2 linked regions of the Oryzias latipes genome follow. The main gene of each other region encodes a partner of the protein of the gene in region 2 in a complex. Links are inferred from orthologs where the notes say so. Each region holds a gene or a part of one and is shown on either strand. Other genes may lie near its edges. The genes, in order: lamtor2 and fnip1.

The links.
Region 1: fnip1 (region 2) and lamtor2 share a complex: the UniProt entries of both Homo sapiens proteins name them as parts of the lysosomal folliculin complex. The link is inferred for Oryzias latipes from reciprocal best matches to the Homo sapiens genes FNIP1 and LAMTOR2.

The regions. Positions count from the first base shown.
Region 1 is NC_019874.2:28,620,117-28,624,458, reverse strand, and holds the start of lamtor2 (ragulator complex protein LAMTOR2), read left to right. Parts: upstream 1-1,340; 5' UTR 1,341-1,486; coding exon 1,487-1,554; intron 1,555-2,170; coding exon 2,171-2,333; intron 2,334-3,283; coding exon 3,284-3,373; intron 3,374-4,342. UniProt on the Homo sapiens protein: As part of the Ragulator complex it is involved in amino acid sensing and activation of mTORC1, a signaling complex promoting cell growth in response to growth factors, energy levels, and amino acids.
Region 2 is NC_019872.2:4,900,335-4,904,156, forward strand, and holds part of fnip1 (folliculin-interacting protein 1), read right to left. Parts: intron 3,755-3,822; coding exon 3,663-3,754; intron 2,953-3,662; coding exon 2,869-2,952; intron 858-2,868; coding exon 786-857; intron 1-785. UniProt on the Homo sapiens protein: Binding partner of the GTPase-activating protein FLCN: involved in the cellular response to amino acid availability by regulating the non-canonical mTORC1 signaling cascade controlling the MiT/TFE factors TFEB and TFE3.

The sequences.
Region 1 (4,342 bases), on a different chromosome or scaffold from region 2:
GGTTAATGTTCTGATAATGAAATAAAATGTATTTTCTGCCATTTTATAAAGGTGTATTAGTATTCACTCAAAGTTTTGCAAATTCATACTCTTTTTAAAATTGGTGATATTTAGCCTTTCTTGCAGCCACACTGTACATACTGATTAGATTTTTTTTGTAATTTCTTTTCTCCAAAAGACACTTTTATTCGTCATCATCATTTGTCCTTTCAGTTGCAGAGACTAGAATAGAAAAAACTGATTTTTTGACCTTTCATCTAAACTTCAGAGGTGTCAGAATGACCTCAAAGAGTTTTACTATAAATTTAAAGAGTTAACTTTTTTGTCACATATCTAGAAGGAAATGTGTTTATTTCCTTCTGCCAAAATGAGACTACATCCTCTCTGATTTTACACCACGTCTGTAGCTTTCAATGGTTGACGGTATAAACAAAACTGTAAACGGATGCACTTGTGTGACTATAATTTTACCAAAACACATATCAGAGAATACATATTAACCATGCACTCATGTACCATAGCAGTTACAGCATGGAATCAAATCAACTTTTGTTTATACAAATGATTGGTTTGTGTCTTTTTTATAAGTGTGTCCACTCAAACACAACAGATTTACCTCTTAGAACAAAATCCTCTTCTTACAGACAAAAAAAAAACAATAATATCCTCGGCCCGATCACTTTTTCTGATGTCCAAAGGGCAGGAGGGAAACGATTCTGCCAAACACTTTGCGCAAACATGTCCTCCCACCAGGAAGCCAGCAGACAATAAAAACCTCAAAGCAGACTAACCTTTACTGTAAGGAGGAGTGTCAAAAGATTTAAATAACACTTCTTTGGTTGAAGTAGAATAAAAAGTACACTTCTTTGAAGCATAAAATCTTTGAGATAAAAACTCTAAATATGACAAAGGAGATGAATCAAGGAGGTGAAGTTTTCGTCGTTCACTGAAGCAAACTATATTTCCCATGATACATTTCCAAAGAACTGGTCATATTCTAGCAGCTCTAATAGGTGTGAGTGTGAATGGGAGTGTGATTGTGGCCCTGCGACAGACTGGCAATCTGTCCAGGGTGTCCCCTGCCTTCACCCACAAGTGGCCGGGATAGGCTCCAGCAGCCCCGTGACCCAGAAATGGACAAAACGGAGGAAGATGAATGAATGGCCATATTCCAGTTCTCAAAAATGTTTACAGACTACATGGGAAAGTAATTTAAAACAAAAAGATTTGTGAAAAAATCAGGAATAATTAAAAATTTAAAAATAAAGTTTAAAGAAAAACATAATAAATATAAATAGGAAACATGTATTTGGATATAACTGCAATTCCCATGATGCATCTCTAAATGTACCGGAAAAGGAAACAGAAGAAGAATCGAGTCAGCTGACTTTGCTCTGTTATTGAGCAGTTCTCTCTTCTTTTTTAAGCCCCGTGTTTATTCAGTCAGATCATTTTTCTGGGTTTTTTCTCCTGAGAGAGGTCGGCCATGTTGCGACCCAAAGCGCTGACGCAAGTTCTCAGCCAGGCGAACACGAACGGCGTCCAGAGCACCCTGTGAGTACCGCGAGCTAGCAGGCTAACATCCAGCTAGCTAGCAGCGGTTTGTTTGCGTCTAGCTCCTTAGAACTCTTAAAGCTCCCCTGAAACGACACGTTTATATAATTATTACTTCACCAACTTAATACTACTTTTACATTTTCATTATTTATTGCAATAAATACAAATATATTTTTTCAAGATTTGTTTTCCGCTGTTAAATCAAATACAGTTTTACACGAATTTCAAGCAGTTGAATTTTGATTTCAAAATAAGAGTCTTTTTAAAATATATTTGGTTCGTTTTTATTTTTGCTTAGAAAGTCTGTTCAGGGTACAAAATATCATTATCAGGTAGAAAAAAAGCAAAAAAAATCGATTTACATTTAAAAAGTGGTGTGGGAAAATAAGTAATCTGTAATGTTTGATGTAGATCTGTTTGATATAGATCTGTTCATCGTTTTAGCCATTTTGCATCAATCGATCAATTTCTGTCCTGGAGACCTCCTGACAAAATTACTTGGTTTTCATGGTTTGAAAACGGAATGGCGTTTGTCTTAAAACTTTGTCACTGTAACTTTTCATCATTGTGTTGTTTTTGTGTGTAATGAACAACCGTCTCTCTGTGCGAGCAGCCTACTGAACAACGAAGGCTCCCTCCTGGCGTACTCCGGTTACGGCGACACAGACGCTCGAGTGACCGCTGCCATCGCCAGCAACATCTGGGCCGCCTACGACAAGAACGGCCACCAGGCCTTCAACGAGGACAAACTCAAGTTCATCCTCATGGACTGCATGGTGGGAACTTTCTCCTTGTTTTCCTTCAGCCCTTTTGTTGAAGTTAGATTCTATGAATGCCCCAACATCTCTGAAGGGGTCTGCAATTTGAGGCATCACAGCTGTTTTTTTTCCCCCTCCATTGTGACTTTAAAGAAAAAATGTGTATTATTTAAATAAAATAATGTGTTTGTAGTTTTGCTTTAGCATGCATACATGGTGGCACCTGTTCAGTCTGGTCTGTTTCAAACGGGACCAAATGGCTCTTTTAATGTTGTACAAAATATGAATAATGGGACTTGAGCAAACCTTCAGATATGGAAGGAGCTGGCTCTTGATACCAATAGCACCACAGGAAGACACCAAACACACACTCCTTGTACTCCTTGCCCATTTTTTTTTGCCCCGCTCTACAGTTTTGTAAACATTGCTCAAGTCAAACGTGTCAACGTCCTGCATCATTTTTCTCATGATACATAAATAATCTTCGCTCATGCAAACAACCAGATGATTTTCTTATTTCTAACTTCCAGCTCTGAGGCAAAATGTTTAACTTAATTCCCGAAAATCAGCGAATCCACACAGTAAAACCCCCACTCTGCCTTAGGAGGAGGGGCTTTGTGGAGAGTCTTGCTCTGTAGATGGAGGGGAAACCTGCTGCATTTGGTCGCATAAAAAAAGCTGAGATCCATTCTTTCAAACCTGTGATTCAGTTCGATTTGCGCCTCATCGCCCCTTATTCAGTAATAATTCATGTCTGCACATTAGCTGAGAGCTGCTGAACTGAGTGAAGGTCAGGCTTACATAAATACTGTCGTAAATCTGAGCATCGCAAACTAACAGCAAAGCAGTGTTCTGTGAGAAATCCATCTGACTTAGTGGATTTATGATTGGAAGTTACAACCTGTAAAGAAAAGTGACTTTTAGTCTTTGGACTCGACCAATAAAAAGGCTTTTTTTTTTTTTCTCAGGAAGGGAGAGTGGCCATAACGCATGTGGCTAACCTGCTGCTTTGCATGTACGCCAAAGAGACGGTGGGCTTCGGGATGCTGAAAGCAAAGGTGAGGGCGCTGCTTCCTCACATGGGTCTTCATCAGCTGTGGTTCCTCAACGAGTCCCGATTCCTGACCCCACAAGTTCAGTTCAACCAAGGACATTTATTCACTCGTTTATTCATTCACTCTCCTCTATGTAGTTTAGTGGAAGTGAAGCATATTTCAGATCAAATTCCGATTCCAAGTTATTGGATTTGGAGTTGCTGCCGATACCGAGTTCCGATCTGTTACTGTCGTAGCACATCCAAAAAAAAATGACAAACTTAATAAACAGATCAACATTTTCCAAATTTTTAAAATTTTATTAAGCTTCTTTTAGCATTTTACACGTAAACAGAGCACTTCTGGGAAGTATCTTCAACAATCAAGGAAAAGTAATGCAATTATCAAATAGAAAAAATAGTTAACTATAAACTAGTACAAACTTGTTAATAGTTAACTAGTCAAAATAGGTTAATTAGCCCTATGAGAAAGTTTGGTGACTGTAGCCTTAACATCTTCAGAACTGTTGAACATTTTTGATCAGATGTGATTCATTTCCCTGTTATAATATCAAATAATCAATTTCCAAATTCATCGTTGTAGCATAATTATGATGAGTATTTGTGACTTTCAACAGAACCATTGACTAATCGTTAGTATTTTTATTATTATTATTATTATTATTATTATTATTATGTATTTATTTATCTTGGTCTATTTTTCCCAGAACTTGCACTTTGTAGGCGGTCCCTTATCAGCCCACCATCAGTTTCATTCTCTTGAAAAGAATGAAAAAAAGAGCAATTTTTATTTATTTACTATTTACAGTCTTTGTAAGTCGTTGGTAAGTTAAGATGAGCCAATATAGACACTTGCTGTCAGTATAAAATGTTTGATATACCGTACTTATTGTGTCAGGAAGTCTGAATCTGTGAACAACTGGTTAACTTTCCCGAACTGTGTTTGTGCGCCTCCTGGTGGCGTATTCCTGCT
Region 2 (3,822 bases):
TGACATCACATGGTGATAAATATAAGTGTAAGATCTATTACAGGAAACTTTACTAGGCAAGAGGAAACTAGGTTAAAAAAAGGAACATGCGAGCAGTGGGTGGCAGGCGGTGAGATCAAAGGACGAGGCTTAAATGAAAAGTTCATTTAGTAGTAGGAGGCTTGAGAGCTGCTATATTTAATCCTCCGCATGTGACCTGTGTTCAAACAGAAAGCACAATGCCAGTCGTGCCAATGACACATGGTGACGTTTGGGGAGGGGGAGCAGAGCTGGGGGCATAAAGGTCAGTTTCCATGGGACAAAGTTTCCAAGTTCATTGAGGTTTATACAAGCACCCTCTCTTCTCCTTCAAGTTTATCTCTGCCTTTTGTGGGGGAAGATCCTTTAAACTTTTCATGGCTCCATGTCTCTAAACAGTTTCACACTCCTACACCCATCAACATGGAGAGGAAATCCCTGAGTCACTTTCATTCCCCGCTTTAAGACTGCAGCTTGTGCACTTCTGATTCAATTACTAGTGATTTTGTAACCGTTTAGGGCTTGCCCCTGATGAGTAGGCTGATGAGGTCAGACACATTAACACGAGAAGTAGCTGGTAATCAAGAACTATCTGAATATGTCCTTCTGTTGACATCTCAAGGTTGTAAATATTTTCAGGAACCCACCAAGTTTGAGATGTTTCTGCGTGTCAAGATTGAGTTCTTCCATAGAGTTCAGTGTAAAACTGGGATGTAGAACAGAGTGTAGGTCAATCCAGGCTTGGGCTGTTAGCCGCATTAACGTACCTGACCTGGCGATGCCACTGTCCCTCTCATCGTGGGGGCCTCGACCTGGCATGTCCATGGGGTGACTGTGGCCTGTTATGAACAAATGTGAGAAAAATGGAAGAGACAAAGATATGATTTGGGTCAGGCGGTGAGGAAAATACAGAAAGGGCAACTAACTTGTACAAAGTTTAATGTTAAAACATGCGGAGAGGCACTCTTATCTAAGAAAGTTAGAGAACTGCAAAGCTCCGTTAAAGATCCATAACATCCCTTATCCAAGCTACAGCAATTCTACTGATCAGTGGTATGAAGCGGAGCACCTTTTGTTTTTGTAACTCCAACAAGAGGAAGCTGAAGTCAAAAAGCACTGCAGCTGTGACAGCGTGTTACTTTACAACTCGATAAAGACGGTGGCTTTTGCTTCGACAAATCTCTCAACAGAGCGCTTTACGTTAAGATCAAAACAAAGTTCATACTCACAGCAAACATAAAAATAACTAACACACATGCATCATATCAAAAGGGCCACTTGTGTGCCATAAACCTTTCGGTCTCATACGACGCAAGTATAATATTCAAATGTTGCAAACTTGACCAACAGTTCCATTGCATTTTGAAGTACCATTACAAAAGGTGTCAAAAAGCCAAGAGCATAAATAAGAGCCTAAACAAACCATAATAAGCCAGAATGACTGGGTCAATTCTACAGTCCAGCAACAAGGCTCCTATGAGTGAGCTTTACTTTTAAACTCTACAATTTTGACAAATGTTCAGTATAAGTAGTGTGTGTGTGTGTGTGTGTGTGTGTGGGGGGGGGGGGGGGGGCTTAAACTTAAAAATTAAAATCAATGAATAAATTGATGCTTGTTTGAATTAGTTTAGGAAGTAGATGCTACCTAGCACCAGAAAAGGGAAAGAAAAGATATGGCATTGATAAATTATGGATATCAAGGTAACATTTATGAACATCCAGCACTTGCATAGGAAGAAACAGTCTAATGTTTAGTTGGATTCAAAATGGTAGGAAGTGTTTGATGTAGTGGTCTGAGTGGTTATTTCCTCCTTCTTGAACACATGATGTTCTGGTAGAAGTTTGGTTGTGATGCTACGTTCATACACGCGTTCCAGTGACCACTGAATGAAAGTTTCAGGTTTCCGTGATCAAAACTCTCACGTTCACACGTCGGTACGCAGATCTTTAAGTGCGTTTTTTGCCTATAGACAAAATGCGCAACCACTGACGTGGCATTGAAAGTTAACCAGCTGAACTTTGACCAATCAGAGACATGTGGGTAGCGTCCTTTTTACTTCAGGGGAAGTGCCAACCCGTAGGAAAATTGCTCATGAAGGAAAAGTTAATAACTGTGGTTTGTGCTCAGAATAGAGCTGTGAAACCAAAAGCCTGGAGCCTCTTCCAACTTCAAGTACATGCTTTAGTATCGGGTAGTGTCAGTGCAGTGTGAACACCATAATTTACTAGCCCGGCGTGTACGTAGCTTGACAGTAAATATCAACGAGTGTGTGTTTTCTGGTCACATGCGCCATCCCTTAAAGGTTTACAGAGAAAAAGAAAAAAAGACAAAATGCCTCCAAACACCACTTTCAAATCTATTAAACAGAAGAAAAAAGAATTGGACGTGCTGATCAGGGAATAACTCAAGAAGAAAATGCAAAACATTGACCAAAATATGACTACAGTAACCAACACCAGTGAAAAAACATGCTCTTTGTGGGTGTGCAGTCATACACCTTGGTCAGATAAACCGATGTATTTAAAAATTGACAGACAGCTTTTTTATTGTTGCCGTCATTCTGAGTTTTCACAAAGGAAAGTTAAATGTTTCCCTTCAACCTCTTCAATGCCAAACATGAAGCTGTCCAGATAAACTTTTGGCGGACCAAAGCGGTGGACTTATCACCCAGGGTATTCACATACACACCCATCTACTTCATGCCAGTACTACTAGTTCTAAAGGCGAGATTAAACAAAAGCATGCACCCGATCAAGCCATATCCACAGCAACCACCATTAATCCAGCTATAGCCTCTACAGACACATGCAACTGGCGTACAGCGGTCACAGCCAGTTTGAAGCGCCAACCTGAAAAGAAAGAGGCGCTCTTGATGAGGCGCAGCGGGCCTTGTTCAGAGAAGGCCCTTCGAGGGCTGCAGAGCTGAGAAAATCCTGCGCAACAAAAAAACATGGAAGGGAGAGTACAGAAAGAGGGGGGAACGTGACAAAACCAATGAACAATGATTAGTGAGTCAGTCAGAAAGGAAAAAAAAAGGCTGAAACTTTCTGTTCAACCCTCCTGTTAAAGGCGACTTTTAGTCTGGAAAGAGAGAACATGTATTAAAGTACATGATAAAAAATGTTAGTTTAATGTTTTTCGAATCACCATTTCTTTTTTAAGACAAGCAGGATGGCTACCTGTGTAAACTTGGTAAGCCTACTTTCTTTTTTTTTTTCTTCTTTTTTTTTTTAAAGAGTGTTATCAAATTTAAGGAGGTGGCAAAAACACCACCATTGTTTTTACAGGAGAATATTTATGGTCCTAAAGATCATTAGCCTTTAAGATCTTTTCAAAAAAGTTACTAGTTGGTGGACGTTTAGATGGACAACAAAAAAAGGGAAAACAAGAATGCTAAAAGGTTTGAAGTGAGAAATAACATGGAATACAAAAGACAAGAATAATAAAATAAAGTAAAATGAGAAAAGACAAAAATGCTATTCGCAGCTGGTCTTCAACTACAGCCATCATCGTCATGGTTGAGTATTCCAACTACTCAATAATGGAGGAAAAAAAACACCATTCACCCATCCTTCATACGTTAATTTTTCATGAGGATGAAGGCAGATGTGGTTGTAGTGGTGGTGGGTGTTGCATTGGTTACCCATGGTCCCGAGAAGATTGTTGGGCCCCGTGTTTTGCTCTGGCTTTAGGGTGTTGGTCTCTGGCCCAATGAACTCAAGGCTGTCCTGTAACCTGTTGAGGGATCAGACGGATGGCCTTCAATGAAAATGAGGAGGTTTATGTAGGACTTCTTGCCACGT